Linked DNA regions of Stegostoma tigrinum. The protein of the gene in region 1 purifies or fractionates together with the protein of each later gene. This does not show direct contact. Links are inferred from orthologs where the notes say so. Each region holds a gene or a part of one and is shown on either strand. Other genes may lie near its edges.

Evidence for each region.
Region 2: the proteins of cfap20 (region 1) and clasrp purify together in Homo sapiens (affinity purification with mass spectrometry; 3 studies listed by BioGRID and IntAct, counting the BioPlex papers as one, with this or other methods). This does not show direct contact. The link is inferred for Stegostoma tigrinum from reciprocal best matches to the Homo sapiens genes CFAP20 and CLASRP.

What each region holds. Positions count from the first base shown.
Region 1 is NC_081355.1:158,596,805-158,604,238, reverse strand, and holds the start of cfap20 (cilia- and flagella-associated protein 20), read left to right. Parts: upstream 1-4,191; 5' UTR 4,192-4,518; coding exon 4,519-4,602; intron 4,603-6,120; exon of another isoform or gene 6,121-6,191; coding exon of another isoform or gene 6,192-6,206; intron 6,207-7,434. UniProt on the Homo sapiens protein: Cilium- and flagellum-specific protein that plays a role in axonemal structure organization and motility. Microtubule inner protein (MIP) part of the dynein-decorated doublet microtubules (DMTs) in cilia axoneme, which is required for motile cilia beating.
Region 2 is NC_081392.1:14,388,520-14,396,768, reverse strand, and holds the start of clasrp (CLK4-associating serine/arginine rich protein), read right to left. Parts: upstream 3,222-8,249; 5' UTR 3,100-3,221; intron 1-3,099. UniProt on the Homo sapiens protein: Probably functions as an alternative splicing regulator. May regulate the mRNA splicing of genes such as CLK1. May act by regulating members of the CLK kinase family.

The DNA.
Region 1 (7,434 bases):
CCGGATACAACGCATCATCCTCCGACACTTCCGCCATCTACAATCCGACCCCACCACCCAAGACATTTTTCCATCCCCACCCCTGTCTGCTTTCCGGAGAGACCACTCTCTCCGTGACTCCCTTGTTCGCTCCACACTGCCCTCCAACCCCACCACACCCGGCACCTTCCCCTGCAACCGCAGGAAATGCTACACTTGCCCCCACACCTCCTCCCTCACCCCTATCCCAGGCCCCAAGATGACATTCCACATTAAGCAGAGGTTCAACTGCACATCTGCCAATGTGGTATACTGTATCCACTGTACCCGGTGTGGCTTCCTCTACATTGGGGAAACCAAGCGGAGGCTTGGAGACCGCTTTGCAGAACACCTCCGCTCAGTTCGCAACAAACAACTGCACCTCCCAGTCGCAAACCATTTCCACTCCCCCTCCCATTCTTTAGATGACATGTCCATCATGGGCCTCCTGCAGTGCCACAATGATGCCACCCGAAGGTTGCAGGAACAGCAACTCATATTCCGCCTGGGAACCCTGCAGCCTAATGGTATCAATGTGGACTTCACCAGTTTCAAAATCTCCCCTTCTCCAACTGCATCCCTAAACCAGCCCAATTCGTCCCCTCCCCCACTGCACCACACAACCAGCCCAGCTCTTCCCCTCCACCCACTGCATCCCAAAACCAGTCCAACCTGTCTCCGCCTCCCTAACCTGTTCTTCCTCTCACCCATCCCTTCCTCCCACCCCAAGCCGCACCCCCATCTACCTACTAACCTCATCCCACCTCCTTGACCTTTCCGTCTTCCCTGGACTGACCTTTCCCCTCCCTACCTCCCCACCTATACTCTCTCCACCTATCTTCTTTTCTCTCCATCTTCGGTCCGCCTCCCCCTCTCTCCCTATTTATTCCAGAACCCTCACCCCATCCCCCTCTCTGATGAAGGGTCTAGGCCCGAAACGTCAGCTTTTGTGCTCCTGAGATGCTGCTTGGCCTGCTGTGTTCATCCAGCCTCACATTTTATTATCTTGGATTCTCCAGCATCTGCAGTTCCTATTATCTCTCCCTCCTGTTCCTGTTATCTCGCCATACCTTTGATCCCTTTAGCCCCGGGTAATAGATCTGACTCCTTGAAAACATTAAATGCTTTGGCTTCAAACATTTCTTGTGGTAGTGAATTCCACAGGTTCATCACTCTCTTGAAGAAATTTCTCCTTAGCTCAGTCCCAAATGGCCTACCCCATATCCTTAGATTGTGACCCTTGGGTATGGACTCCCTGTCATCGAGAACATCTTTCCTGTGTTCACCCTGTTAGAATTTTATAGGTTCCTATGAGATTCCCCCTCACTTTTCTAGTGAATGTAGTCAAAACCGATCCAGTTCCTCTTCATATATCAGTCCTACCATTTCCAGGAATCAATTTAGTAAACCTTCCTTGCACTCCCTGTATAGACAGAACCATCCTTCTTGAGCAAAGGAGACCAAACCTGCACACAGTATTCCATGTGTGGTCTCACCAAAGCCTAGTACATTTGCAGCAAAACATGGTCATTCCTGTCCTGGAATCCTTTCTCTGTGAAGGCCTACATACCATTTACCGCCTGCTGTACCTGCATGCTTACTTTTATTGAATGGTGGACAAGGATACCCAGGTTTGCTGTGATGCCCTATTTCCTACCTGTCACCATTTGGATAATAGTTGAACCAGTGGATTGGCTAAAACAATGATAGAACAAGGAATTCAATTTGTGGTACTACAAGATGATCAGATGGGATGTTGCAGGAAGTAAGCTTTGTTGGCTATATTCTTTTAATCCTCTTCAAACACAGGAGCAGTACCAGAGTGCAGGAGAATTGTGACGAAGGGTACAAAGATAAGCCAAAAAACTTCAAGCCACTTGGTTTAACTTTGTTTTTTGAAACCAAAATCAGGGTAAGTTAAGTTGTACAAGTGCGAATTAATGAACGAAGACCAGTACTGATTGTTAAAGGCAACTTGTGTTTAAGTATCTTGCTTGAATATTGCTGAAGAGAGAGCCAAGCTGTTGAAAATTATTTTTGTATCAGGGATAATGGGAACTGCAGATGCTGGAGAATCTGAGATAACAAAGTGTGGAGCTGGATGAACACAGCAGGCCCAGCAGTGGGTGGAGGGGACGAACTGGGCTGGTTTAGGGATGCGGTGGGGGAAGGGGAGATTTTGAAACTGGTGAACTCCACATTGATACCATTGGGCTGCAGGGTTCCCAAGCGGAATATGAGTTGCTGTTCCTGCAACCTTCGGGTGGCATCATTGTGGCAGTGCAGGAGGCGCACACACACACACACACACACACACACACACACACACACACACACACACACATCAGAAAAAGGAGCTTATTTTTATCTTGCAACCGCAGGACAAACACAAGACTGCCAAAATTCTTCATTGTATTTCCAGTACCTTCTCCATGGCAACACCATCAGCACTGTATTGTCCTGTAATATAAGTTGTTGTGACTTTTTGAAATGTGGCATTCTTGAATTTATTCTGATACAATATATATGAAATATATATTATCTTTTCATGTAAGATGAAGGTGTTGTCGTTTGTCACGAACAGAGTGCAGGTGCAGACTCTGAGCCTCCACCTGGTCTCACCAATGCAGAGGAGGCGACAAACAACACCTTCCAGACGCAAACAACTTCAACTCCCCCTCCCACTCCCTGGGTGACGTCCATTCTGGACCTGCTCCACTGTCACAACAACGCCACCCAGAAACTGGAGGAGCAGCACGTCATATTCTGCCTGGGGACCCTACAATCCAATGGTCTCAATGTGGACTTCACTAATTTCAAAATCTCCCCACCCCTGGCCTCATCCCACGATCAACCCTCCCTGTCATCCTGCCTCCTTGACCTGTCTGTCTTCTCTCCCACTGATCCACTCTGTCTACCTCACTGATCAATCCCCACCACTGCCTGCCTGCACTCACCTATCACCATCCACCTACCTTCCCCATCCCAACCCCTCCTCTATTTATTTCAGAACTCCCTTCCCTCTCCCCCATTTCTGAAGAAGGGTCTTGACTGGAAGCTTTAGTGTTTCTGCTTGTTTGATGCTGCCTGGCCTGCTGTGTTTCTCCAACTCCACAGTTTTTTTAGGTGTGAGGCCTTGTCAAACTGGCTCTATGTCTGAAATAGGAATTTATAAAATGCCACATTGTCTATAAATTGTGTGCTTTTTGACAAAATAGAACGCATCTGCAAATACAAATTCACCCCACAGATTCACATGTGTATTAGAGAGGGATTCTTTGATGTTTCACTTCCAAATTCTGTGTCTTATACTATCTGTCTCACGAACACCTGAAGGAGGAGTGAGGCTCTGAAAGCTTGTTTCTGAATAATCCTGTTGAACAATAACCTGGTGAAGCGTGATTTCTGACATTGATGAGGTGACCCCTATGGTTGTCATAGAATCCCTCGTGTGGAACCAGGCCCTTCGGCCCAATAAGTCCACACCGACCTATGAACCACACCAACCGAATCACCACACCCCTGAACACTATGGGCAGTTTAGCATAGACAAGATAATAAAGTGTGAAGCTGGATGAACACAGCATAGACACTTAGCATAGCCAATCCAACTAACTTGCACATCTCTGTACTGTAGGAGGAATCCAGAGCACCCAGGGGTGCAATTCAACCCGGGTTCCTGGCGCTGTGAAACAACCACTGAGCCACCGTGCTGTTACAGCAATTTCTGTTTTTGTGTCAGTTATTTCCTTTTATTTAAATCGCTGAGAAGTGTTTTATGTTACGGTAAAAACAAATGGTCATTCCCGCTGAGGATTATCCGATTCACCGAGACCACTGCCTCTGCAAACGCCCTGGACATCGCACCAGCTCCACGTGGCGCATTTGGCGGATTGTATGCAAATCGAGGGACTGGAGGTGGGACGACGCCATGGCAGACGAACCAATCACCATCTCGGAGTCCCACGTGGGTCATCACCCCGGATGGTCAGTTCCCGCAGCTGGAACCAATAGGCGGCCTGCATGCAAATAAGTCCTTGCTGTGCCTGTACAATCAGCTCGGAGCTCGAGCTGACCTGTGCACCAATAGGTGTGGAAAGGCCGCGGTCGACCAATCGCGGCTGGCCCAGAAACCATAGTAACGGCGAATCCAAACAGACAACAAGAGGCCGAACGGGACGGAGGGGGGGTTGTCATAGCAACGGGCCTTAGTAACCGGGGCTGCAGCGGCGGTCGGCTCCGCTACGCTAAATACAAGGAGCGGGCCCGCAACCCAGACCGATCCCCGGTTCCGATCAGAGGTTCCTGGGATAGTCCCCTCTTTCCCCTCCCCATCCCCCTCCTTGGTTGTTGAGAAAGGTTGGAGCCGGCGGGGTAGCAGCGCCTGCGCGGCCGGAGCTTTCCGCTTTTCCCTCTCACACCCCCCCCCGGAACCTTTGTCGGGAGGCGGCGGGTTGCACCCGGACGTTGCTAGGGCCCCGGGTCCGGCGGCGCTCAGAGATGTTCAAGAACACGTTCCAGAGCGGATTCCTCTCGATCCTCTACAGTATCGGCAGTAAACCCCTGCAGATCTGGGACAAGAAGGTGAGGAAGGACCTTAACCTCATGCCTTTACCGGGAGCGGGTGACGGAGACTAGGCCTCAGGCTTCGGGCCGCGCAGTAACCCCCCACCCCAACCCCCTCACAGACTTGACCCTTTCTGCTCAAATCGGGGCTGGAAACAGAGAAGATGGGAGCAGGAGGGCGAGGCCATTGGGCCCTTCGAGCCTAACCCGCCACTCTCCACGATCATGGCGTGGATGGATGTCCCAGCAACAACAAACCGACAGAAACATCAATCCCCGAGGAGCAAGATATCATGTTCCCGCAACCTCCAGGACTCTACCTGGAGTTTAACCATGTCAGAGTGTGAACACCCTCATTCTTTCCCAGTCCCTTATGCACTCCACAGCCCAGGTCTTCTGATGAAGGGTCTAGGCCCGAAACATCAGCCTCCCTGCTCCTCTGATGCTGCCTGGCCTGCTGTGTTCATCCAGCTCCACACCTTGTTATCTCTGCCATACAATGGGCAGCTTTCAGCTCAGCCAACCCACTCAGAGTCTCCATTCTCACCCATCTCCCCTCTTTCTTTCCCTAGCTTGCCATCAACAATCCCTTTGCTCCTCTGTCCTTTTCTCTCTGACCTCCTCCACCTGTTTGCCCTCTCCTTGCCTCCCCCACCATGTCATCAACACTTTTTCGAGCTGCTGCGAGTTCTGAAGAAGGGTCACCAGACTTGAAATATTAGCTCTGTTTCTTGTCCTCACGTATCCACAAGACCTGCTGCGTTTCTCCAGCAATTTCTGCTTTTGTTTGTTGTGGGTCTGCAGAATCTGCAGTTCTTTGTCCCACCAGCTGACTCTGCTATTCGATCAGATTAATCTGATCTGATAGTAATCTCAAAATCCACATTCCCAGTTGCCCTCAATAACCTTTCACCACCCTTTATCTACCTCTAACTTAAAAATTGTCCAAAAACTCTGTGTCCGCCACCTTTTTCAGGAAGAGTGCCAAAGATTGAGGGATAGGTGGGAAATAATGTACTTGATTCTGTCTCAATTTCAGGCAAGCCCTGATTTTTAAACTGTTCTAGATTTTTCCACAAGAAGAAACCTGCCTTATTCAGTTTGGGCAGAAGAGTTTAGAGAGCTGATGGTACAGTAGAATCAGTGCTGTCAGCATATGTGCGGAACTAATACTGTGGCTTCAGGCAAGGGGATGTTATTAAGCTGGAGAGGGCTCAGAAGAGATTTACCAGGATGTTGCTAGGTATGGAAGGTTTGTGTTATAAGGAAGAGCTGGATTGGCTGGGATTTTTTTCACTGGAGTGTAGGAGGTTGAGAGGTGACCTGATAGAAGGTTATAAAATAATGAGAGATGTACAAAGAGTTGATGGTCATTGTCTTTTTCCTAAGATGGGGAATTTCAAGACCGGGGGCACATTTTTAAGGTGAAAGGAGAGAGATTTTAAAAAAAGACATAAGGCAAATTTCTTACACGGAGGGTGGTTCGCGTGTGGAACCTTGAGGAAGTGATGCGCGTGAACGCCTTGAGGAAGTGGTGGATGTGTGTACAATTACAACGTTTAAAAGACATTTGGATAAATACATGAATAGGAAAGGTTTGGAGAGATATGGGCCAGGACCAGGTAGGTGGGACTAATTTAGTTTGGAATTATGCTTGGCTTGGGCTGGTTGGACTGAAGGGTCTATTTCTGTGTTCCATAACTCTATATTAAGCCAGGACCTTCAGCTGATGTTCTGAGGTCTTGGGTTTGAATCCATTCATGGAAAATTGTGAAATTTGAATGTACTAAAGATCTGGAATTAAAAGTCAGTCTGAAAGTCACTTGTCAAATATTGTAAAAACCCATCTGGTTCATCAATGTCCTTTAGGGATAGAAATCTGCTGCTTTTACCTGGTCTGACCTACATGTGTCTTCAGGCCCTCATCAATGTGAGTGACTCTTTGGAAATAGCTTAGAGTCCTTATCAGTTCAAAGGCAACAAGGTTAAAGACAAAAGAAGAACTGCAGATGTTGGAATCTGAGGTAGACAAACAGGAGGCTGGAAGAACACAGCAAGCCAGGCAACATCTGGAATAAAGGAGCAATCGATGTTTTGGTTATTACCCTTCTTCAGGACTCAACAAGGACAACTAGCATAGAACATAGAAAAGTACAGCACAGTACAGGCCCTTCAGCCCACGATGTTGTGCTGTGGAATAATCCTAATCCAAAAATAAAATAACCTAACCTACATTCCCCTCAATTCACTGCTGTCCATGTGCATGTCCAGCAGTCACTTAAATGTCACTAATGACTCTGCTTCCACGACTACCACTGGTAAACTATTCCATGCACTCTCAACTCTCTGGGTGAAGAACCTCCCTCTGACGTCTCCTCTATACCTTCCTCCTAACACCTTAAAACTATGAGCCCTCGTGTCAGTCAATCCTGCCCTGGGGAAAAGTCTCTGGCTATCGACTCTATCCGTGCCTCTCATTACCTTGTACACCTTGCGTTGGGCAACAAGATTCCTGTCTTCTCAGTGATAGCCAAGAAATAAAACTAATTTAAAAATATAATGTAATGGAGATGAGAAATGCAGGGGGGCATGCAAGGAAAGATACTAGGGGGTAACAAGATAAAAACAGAAATAGCAGGAAAATCTCAGCAGGTCTGGTGGTATTTGTGGAGACAAATCAGATTTAACATTTCCGGTCCATTGACTCTTCTTCAGAACCAGGGTAATAAGGCAGGTCAGGAAGAGAAACTATTGCAAGTGATTATAAGGTCATAGAGGTATACAGTGTGGAAATATTGGACAACCTTTGGCCCAAATTGTGCATGCTGACTGGGTCTCCTGAACCGAACT
Region 2 (8,249 bases), on another chromosome or scaffold:
AAATTACATTGCTTCAAGGTATTAGAGACAATTCCCTGGATCAGGTGATCCATCCATTGCCCTCCCACCTCTAATTCTACTTTGCCTCCCTTGCACCTGTCCCCACTCCTGCCATCTCCCTACATCTCTCCACCCACTCTTCCTACCCTCAACTACATTCCTCCTGACCCCCTCCCCCTACCTCTTGCCCCCCTCATCTCATCCCAACCCTCTCACTTTCAACACTCCTTCCGTAACCCCTCACCCCTCCCGTTCACCTTCAACTCACTTCAACATTCGCCTTGATCTCCTCCCTCATCTTTCCCTCCCCTACTCTTTCCACACATCACTCATAACACCTCTCCACTTACCCATCACTACCCAGCAACCTCATACCCTCCACCTCCTCATTCATCTTCAACTTGTTACCCCCCACATATCTCATCCTCCATCCTTTCCCATTCTGACCTTCATCTGCACCCGTTGCTCCCTCATATACTCCCTCCTCCCAACTTAAGCACCACATCCAAATTTAGGCTCAACCCTCCCAATTTATACACTCCTTCCCCTGACCCACCCAATTTACACCCCTAATCACCCCCAACCCTCCTTCCCCTCCTAATTCATACCCCCGGCCCCCGCTTCCCGCCTCAGTGCATACCCCAGACCCCCGCTCCCCCCCTCCTCAGTGCGTACCCCCGACCCCCGCTCCCTCACTCAGTGCGTACCACCGACCCCCAACCCCCGCTCCCCCCCTCAGTGCGTACCCGAGCCCAACTCCCCCCTCAGTGCGTACCCCCGACCCCCGCTCCCTCACTCAGTGCATACCACCGACGCCTGCTCCCCCCCTCAGTGCGTACCCGAGCCCAACTCCCCGCTCAGTGCGTACCCCCGCTCCCCCCTCAGTGCGTACCCCCGACCCCCCCTCCCCCCTCAGTGCGTACCCCCGCTCCCCCCAACTCAGTGCGTTCCCCCGCTCCCCCCCCTCCCCCCTCAGTGCGTACCCCCGCTCCCCCCCTCCCCCCTCAGTGCGTACCCCCGCTCCCCCCCCTCCCCCCTCAGTGCGTACCCCCGCTCCCCCCCCCCTCAGTGCGTACCCCCGCTCCCCCCCCTCCCCCCTCAGTGCGTACCCCCGCTCCCCCCCTCCCGCCTCAGTGCGTACCCCCGCTCCCCCCCCCCTCAGTGCGTACCCCCGCTCCCCCCTCCCCCCTCAGTGCGTACCCCCGCTCCCCCCCTCAGTGCGTACCCCCGCTCCCCCCTCAGTGCGTACCCCCGCTCCCCCCCCTCCCCCCTCAGTGCGTACCCCCGCTCCCCCCCTCCCCCCTCAGTGCGTACCCCCGCTCCCCCCTCAGTGCGTACCCCCGACCCCCGCTCCCCCCTCAGTGCGTACCCCCGACCCCCGACTCAGTGCGTACCCCCGACCCCCGCTCCCCCCTCAGTGCGTACCCCCGACCCCCGACTCAGTGCGTACCCCCGACCCCCGCTCCCCCCTCAGTGCGTACACCCGACCCCCGACTCAGTGCGTACCCCCGCTCCCCCCCTCCCCCTTCAGTGCGTACCCCCGCTCCCCCCTCCCCCCTCAGTGCGTACCCCCGCTCCCCCCCTCCCCCCTCAGTGCGTACCCCCGCTCCCCCCCTCCCCCCTCAGTGCGTACCCCCGCTCCCCCCTCAGTGCGTACCCCCGCTCCCCCCTCAGTGCGTACCCCCGCTCCCCCCCTCAGTGCGTACCCCCGCTCCCCCGCTCCCCCCTCAGTGCGTACCCCCGTTCCCCCCCTCCCCCTCAGTGCGTACCCCCGCTCCCCCCTCAGTGCGTACCCCCGCTCCCCCCCTCAGTGCGTACCCCCGCTCCCCCCCTCAGTGCGTACCCCCGCTCCCCCCCCTCCCCCTCAGTGCGTACCCCCGCTCCCCCCCTCCCCCCTCAGTGCGTACCCCCGCTCCCCCCCTCAGTGCGTACCCCCGACCCCCGCTCCCCCCTCAGTGCGTACCCCCGACCCCCGACTCAGTGCGTACCCCCGCTCCCCCCTCAGTGCGTACCCCCGCTCCCCCCCTCCCCCTTCAGTGCGTACCCCCGCTCCCCCCTCCCCCCTCAGTGCGTACCCCCGCTCCCCCCCTCCCCCCTCAGTGCGTACCCCCGCTCCCCCCTCAGTGCGTACCCCCGCTCCCCCCTCAGTGCGTACCCCCGCTCCCCCCCTCAGTGCGTACCCCCGCTCCCCCCTCAGTGCGTACCCCCGCTCCCCCCCTCAGTGCGTACCCCCGCTCCCCCCTCAGTGCGTACCCCCGTTCCCCCCCTCCCCCTCAGTGCGTACCCCCGCTCCCCCCTCAGTGCGTACCCCCGCTCCCCCCCTCAGTGCGTACCCCCGCTCCCCCCCTCAGTGCGTACCCCCGCTCCCCCCCCTCCCCCTCAGTGCGTACCCCCGCTCCCCCCCTCCCCCCTCAGTGCGTACCCCCGCTCCCCCCCTCAGTGCGTACCCCCGACCCCCGCTCCCCCCTCAGTGCGTACCCCCGACCCCCGACTCAGTGCGTACCCCCGCTCCCCCCTCAGTGCGTACCCCCGCTCCCCCCCTCCCCCCTCAGTGCGTACCCCCGCTCCCCCCTCAGTGCGTACCCCCGCTCCCCCCTCCCCCCTCAGTGCGTACCCCCGCTCCCCCCCTCCCCCCTCAGTGCGTACCCCCGCTCCCCCCCTCCCCCCTCAGTGTGTACCCCCGCTCCCCCCTCCCCCCTCAGTGCGTACCCCCGCTCCCCCCTCAGTGCGTACCCCCGCTCCCCCCTCAGTGCGTACCCCCGCTCCCCCCCTCCCCCCTCAGTGCGTACCCCCGCTCCCCCCCTCCCCCCTCAGTGCGTACCCCCGCTCCCCCCCTCCCCCCTCAGTGCGTACCCCCGACCCCCGCTCCCCCAATGCATACTCCTAACACCCGCCTTCCCCATTTACAGCCCTAGCCCCGTCACACCCTCCCAGTTTACTCCCCTAAACTCTGTTCGCCCCCTTAATTTACACCCCCATCCTATTCTTTTCTCACCCCGCCTTCAGCAGCGCCCCTCCCCCGTACACTTTTCTCCGACACAACCGATCCTTTCGCAATTCCCCGGCAGCCTCAGACCTTACTTTCCGAGTTCCTCTCACCTTTGTAAGTGAGGTGTCTTTCCTTCCAGTTTCCCTTTCTGACCCCCTCCACCACACCCAGCGTTTACCTGGTGTAAAGCTCTACCCACTCTCCGCCATCTTTTCCCTCTCCGCCCCCCACCTTGTGCCTGACCGCGCACACAACTTCTGCCCCGCACTGTCCGCTACCATGTGCTCCCTCCCGGCCACTTCCGCCCCGCTCCAGGTACTCCAGGAAAAGACCTTCTCCGGCAGTTCAGCTCCACTATCAGTTCCGCGGAATGTCTATTACATACATTTGGAGCTGTTTTCAATCATTTATTTTGTTTCGGTTTCAGTCGTACCAGCATCACAAACTAATATCCACATTATTTTTTATTAATTCACAGGAACGGAGGGAAACAGAGATAAAGTATAAATTGCGATATTGATATCCCAGAAAATAACTTACACTAAGATTTTCTTCTTTTAATTCATTAATGTAATGTGGGCATTGCCGGTTGTCTCATTATTTATTGTCCATTCTAGCTGCCCCTTGAGAAGATCGCAGTGCAATTCGTGTTGTGTAGGTAACCTCAATGTTATTGGGGAGGAAATTCAAAGACTTTGATCCAGCAACACCAAAGGAATGCTGACATATTTCCAAGTATGTGGTTTGGAGGGGAACCTGCAGGGCAGTAATGTTTCCATATTTCTACTGCCCCTTGTCTTTCTAAATGGTAGAGATCACGGATTTGGAAGGTGCTGTTGTGCATCTTGTCGACGGTACACTGCTGCTACTGAGCTTCAGTGTTGGATGGAGTGGATGTTGAAGGTGTGATGTGGTGGGTGCTGGCCTGGGACTGCTTTGATCTGAATTTTGTTGCGCTGCTTGAGTTTTCTTGCCACATATCTAGACGAGGGGGTGCTGCTTGCTAAACCAGGCCTGAGCTGCTAGGATGATCATCCTGATGAAGACAAGTGGAACCAATGTAAAGATGGGTAGTGGTGGACTTAAAATGATGGGCTTGATGCCACATTACTTCATGATAGAATTCCTACAGTGTTGAAGCAGCCATTTGGCACATCAAGTCCTCACTGACACCCTGAGGAGCATCCCACTCCCCTTCCCTATAACTGTGCATTACCCAGGGCTAATCCACCTGGCCTGCACATCTCTGGACACTATCAGTAATTTCCCAACCTAACCCACACATCTTTGGATTATGGGAGGAAACCGCAGCACCCGGAGGAAACCCATGTAGATACGGGAAGAATGTGCAAACTCCAAACAGACAGTTGCCTGAGGGTCGAATTGAATCTGTGACCCGAGTGCTGTGAGGCAGCAGGTTAACCACTGAGCCACTGTCCTCAATACTAGATCATATGAAGTTCTAACTAAGTCAAAACTGGAATACTATCAGAGATAATGGGAACTGCAGATGCTGGAGAATTCCAAGATAATAAAATGTGAGGCTGGGTGAACACAGCAGGCCAAGCAGCATCTCAGGAGCACAAAAGCTGACGTTTCGGGCCTAGACCCTTCATCAGAGAGGGGGATGGGGAGAGGGAACTGGAATAAGTAGGGAGAGAGGGGGAGGCGGACCGAAGATGGAGAGTAAAGAAGATAGGTGGAGAGAGTGTAGGTGGGGAGGTAGGGAGGGGATAGGTCAGTCCAGGGAAGACGGACAGGTCAAGGAGGTGGGATGAGGTTAGTAGGTAGCTGGGGGTGCGGCTTGGGGTGGGAGGAAGGGATGGGTGAGAGGAAGAACCAGTTAGGGAGGCAGAGACAGGTTGGACTGGTTTTGGGATGCAGTGGGTGGGGGGGGAAGAGCTGGGCTGGTTGTGTGGTGCAGTGGGGGGAGGGGACGAACTGGGCTGGTTTTGGGATGCGGTGGGGGAAGGGGAGATTTTGAAACTGGTGAAGTCCACATTGATACCATATGGCTGCAGGGTTCCCAGGCGGAATATGAGTTGCTGTTCCTGCAACCTTTGGGTGGCATCATTGTGGCAGTGCAGGAGGCCCATTTTGGACATGTCATCTAGAGAATGGGAGGGGGAGTGGAAATGGTTTGCGACTGGGAGGTGCAGTTGTTTGTTGCGAACTGAGCGGAGGTGTTCTGCAAAGCGGTCCCCAAGCCTCGACATTGGGGAAACCAAGCGGAGGCTTGGGGACCGCTTTGCAGAACACCTCCGCTCAGTTTGCAACAAACAACTGCACCTCTCAGTCGCAAACCATTTCCACTCCCCCTCCCATTCTGTAGATGACATGTCCATCATGGGCCTCCTGCACTGCCACAATGATGCCACCCGAAGGTTGCAGGAACAGCAACTCATATTCCACCTGGGAACCCTGCAGCCATATGGTATCAATGTGGACTTCACCAGTTTCAAAATCTCCCCTTCCCCTACTGCATCCCTAAACCAGCCCAGTTCGTCCCCTCCCCCCACTGCACCACACAACCAGCCCAGCTCTTCCCCCCCAACCCACTGCATCCCAAAACCAGTCCAACCTGTCTCTGCCTCCCTAACCGGTTCTTCCTCTCACCCATCCCTTCCTCCCACCCCAAGCCGCACCCCCAGCTACCTACTAACCTCATCCCACCTCCTTGACCTGTCCGTCTTCCCTGGACTGACCTATCCCCTCCCTACCTTCCCACCTACACTCTCTCTACCTATCTTCTTTACTCTCCATCTTCGGTCCGCCTCCCCCTCTCCCTATTTATTCCAGTTCCCTCTCCCCATCCCCCTCTCTGATGAAGGGTCTAGGCCCGAAACGTCAGCTTTTGTGCTCCTGAGATGCTGCTTGGCCTGCTGTGTTCATCCAGCCTCACATTTTATTATCTCAAAACTGGAATACTATTTTGCAAGCTTTCCTTAACCGTGATTTCCCTCATATTCTCAAATCCTTTCTCCAATATCAGTGCTTAAATATTGAATCCATTACATTTATATAAGAATATAGGAACAGGAGGAGGCCATTTCGCCCCTTAGGCCTGATCTGCCATTCATTGGGATCACAGTTGATCCACGGCCTAATTGCATGCACCTGCCTTTGGCCCATATTTCTTAATTTGTTTGTTAAGCAAAGGTATGATCTGTCTCAGATTTAAATTTAACACTTTCTTTTTCCTCTTCTGTCACACATTCTATAGATATTTGATTAGGTTTCATTCTTACAGTCCTAAATTTGAATTAATAAGCTTCAGGGACAAGCTAGTGTTGCTATTTAACATCAATCTGCAGACTGCTCTTCTAGCAAACAGATGTGTAGTTCATAGCTGTACCTATTAGAGCATAGAGAACCTAGCATCTTCTAGCCACTTTGATTTCATAACTATCTTTTCAAATGAGAAGAACCAAAGACAGTTGTTTTTCTCCACTGTACCTTGGCAGCAGCTGCTCCAAGTTTATTTTATTTTTAAGATGGCAACAGCAGCACAGGCAATGTCTGGGCTCAACCAGGGGCTCGTCCTCTCCGTCCACTCCTCTTTTTAAAACACATTTTTTTGGTTATTTTTAACCTACCTTGTCTCACGAAGCCCGCGGTGGTGCTGCTGCAGCTGAGGGCCTGGTGTGAAGCAGGGTAGCCAGCAGTTGACAGGCTGGGGTAGGGCAGAAAGGCCAATGATTGACGGGCCAGAGAGAAGCTGCCAGCAGGCTGGGAACCCAGAGGGGTTGGCTGGCAGACTGGGGCCCAGTGCAGTCAACCTGTCACAGACCTCAATTTTGGTAGTGCAGGGAGCGTGAGACCACATGTGGAAAGCCCACAATGTGGAGAGACTGTAGGCTACAGAAGGACTGTAACATTTAACTTTATTTCTTTACATTCCTAATTTATTACTATGAAAAACTGTAATGTACAACTTTTAGCTTTCATCTGTATTTCTCTATTTTTGTACCTAGGTACATTGCACCTAAAATGGCACCTTGTGTGATGAGATTGTACACTTCTCATTGTACTCCTGCACTTTGTACTTAAGTACATGTGACAATAAATCTAATTCTAATTCTTAATCCTCGGTATGTAGTCCTGAACCTTGGAATGTGCCTGTCTGCAACACTTGGTTGAAGTCAACTCTTTGCATTAGAAGACCAAGTTTTGGGGTAGAGCAATGAGCATGTTTCACTGAGTTCATGGTTCTCCAGTTGCAGTTGATTCTTGGTGTGCATCTCAGGGAACAGCCTGTACGGCACAGAGTCCAGCCTCTAAATGATATATTCAATACCTGCCTTTATATGGCTGGTTGGGTCTTCCCTTACATCTGAACCCCTTCTCCTCTCTTTTCAAGCAAAACATTTGTGTGAAGGTTTTCACTCTGTGTAACAGTCTATTGCTTGTAAACAAAGAATTCCTGCGTGAAAACCATTTAATTGGAAACTTTTAACTTGGAATCTAACTAATTTTAATTTTCAATGATCAATGAACAATTAGTGTGAAAAAAGTAACAGGTTAGAAACACTTGGTGTTCAACTGAACATTCTCAACCAATCTGAACAATGCATGCATTACAACAGCATATCCCTTGGGTCTCATTAACAGTATATCAAAGAATCACACACTCTGGTTAAACTGTGCGATTAAAAAATAAACCACAAATCTCATGGTGGTTTCAGTCTCAGAACCGCCTAACTTTCCTTTTTTGATGACTCCTTTAAAGGTCTGCAGGGAATCTGAGATCCAGAGATGGGTCTGCAGAATGGTTTTTCCTAGTCTTGGACTAGTCTATATACACCATGAGTAATGGCTCTATTTTGGTGTTCAACTATAAACGGTGCTCCTTTCCAGTCAGGCTTCTCGAGATTTTACGTTGGCACTGAAAGGAAAGTTTCAGACAGCCTTGCCTTTCAATGAACCCAGAAATGCAGTTGTTTGGTAAATTGGACATTATGGTGATGGTGTGGAGGATTAGCCCCAGTATGCCAAGAGATTTAGATAGTTTTTTCAAGCAAACGGGATACGACGGGATCATTGACAAAACGTCATTCCCCTGGCTACTTACTTTCAGCATCGTAAAGAGTTTAGTCTTACCAGCAACCATGCAGTCAAATCCTTTGGTGAACTAAAAACAAAAACTGCTGGAGAAACTCAGTATTTGTGGATGCCTGTGGGAAGAAATCAGAGTCAACGTTTTGAGTCTGCTGACTTCATCAGAATACTCACCAGATGAAGAGTTACCAGAATCGAAAAG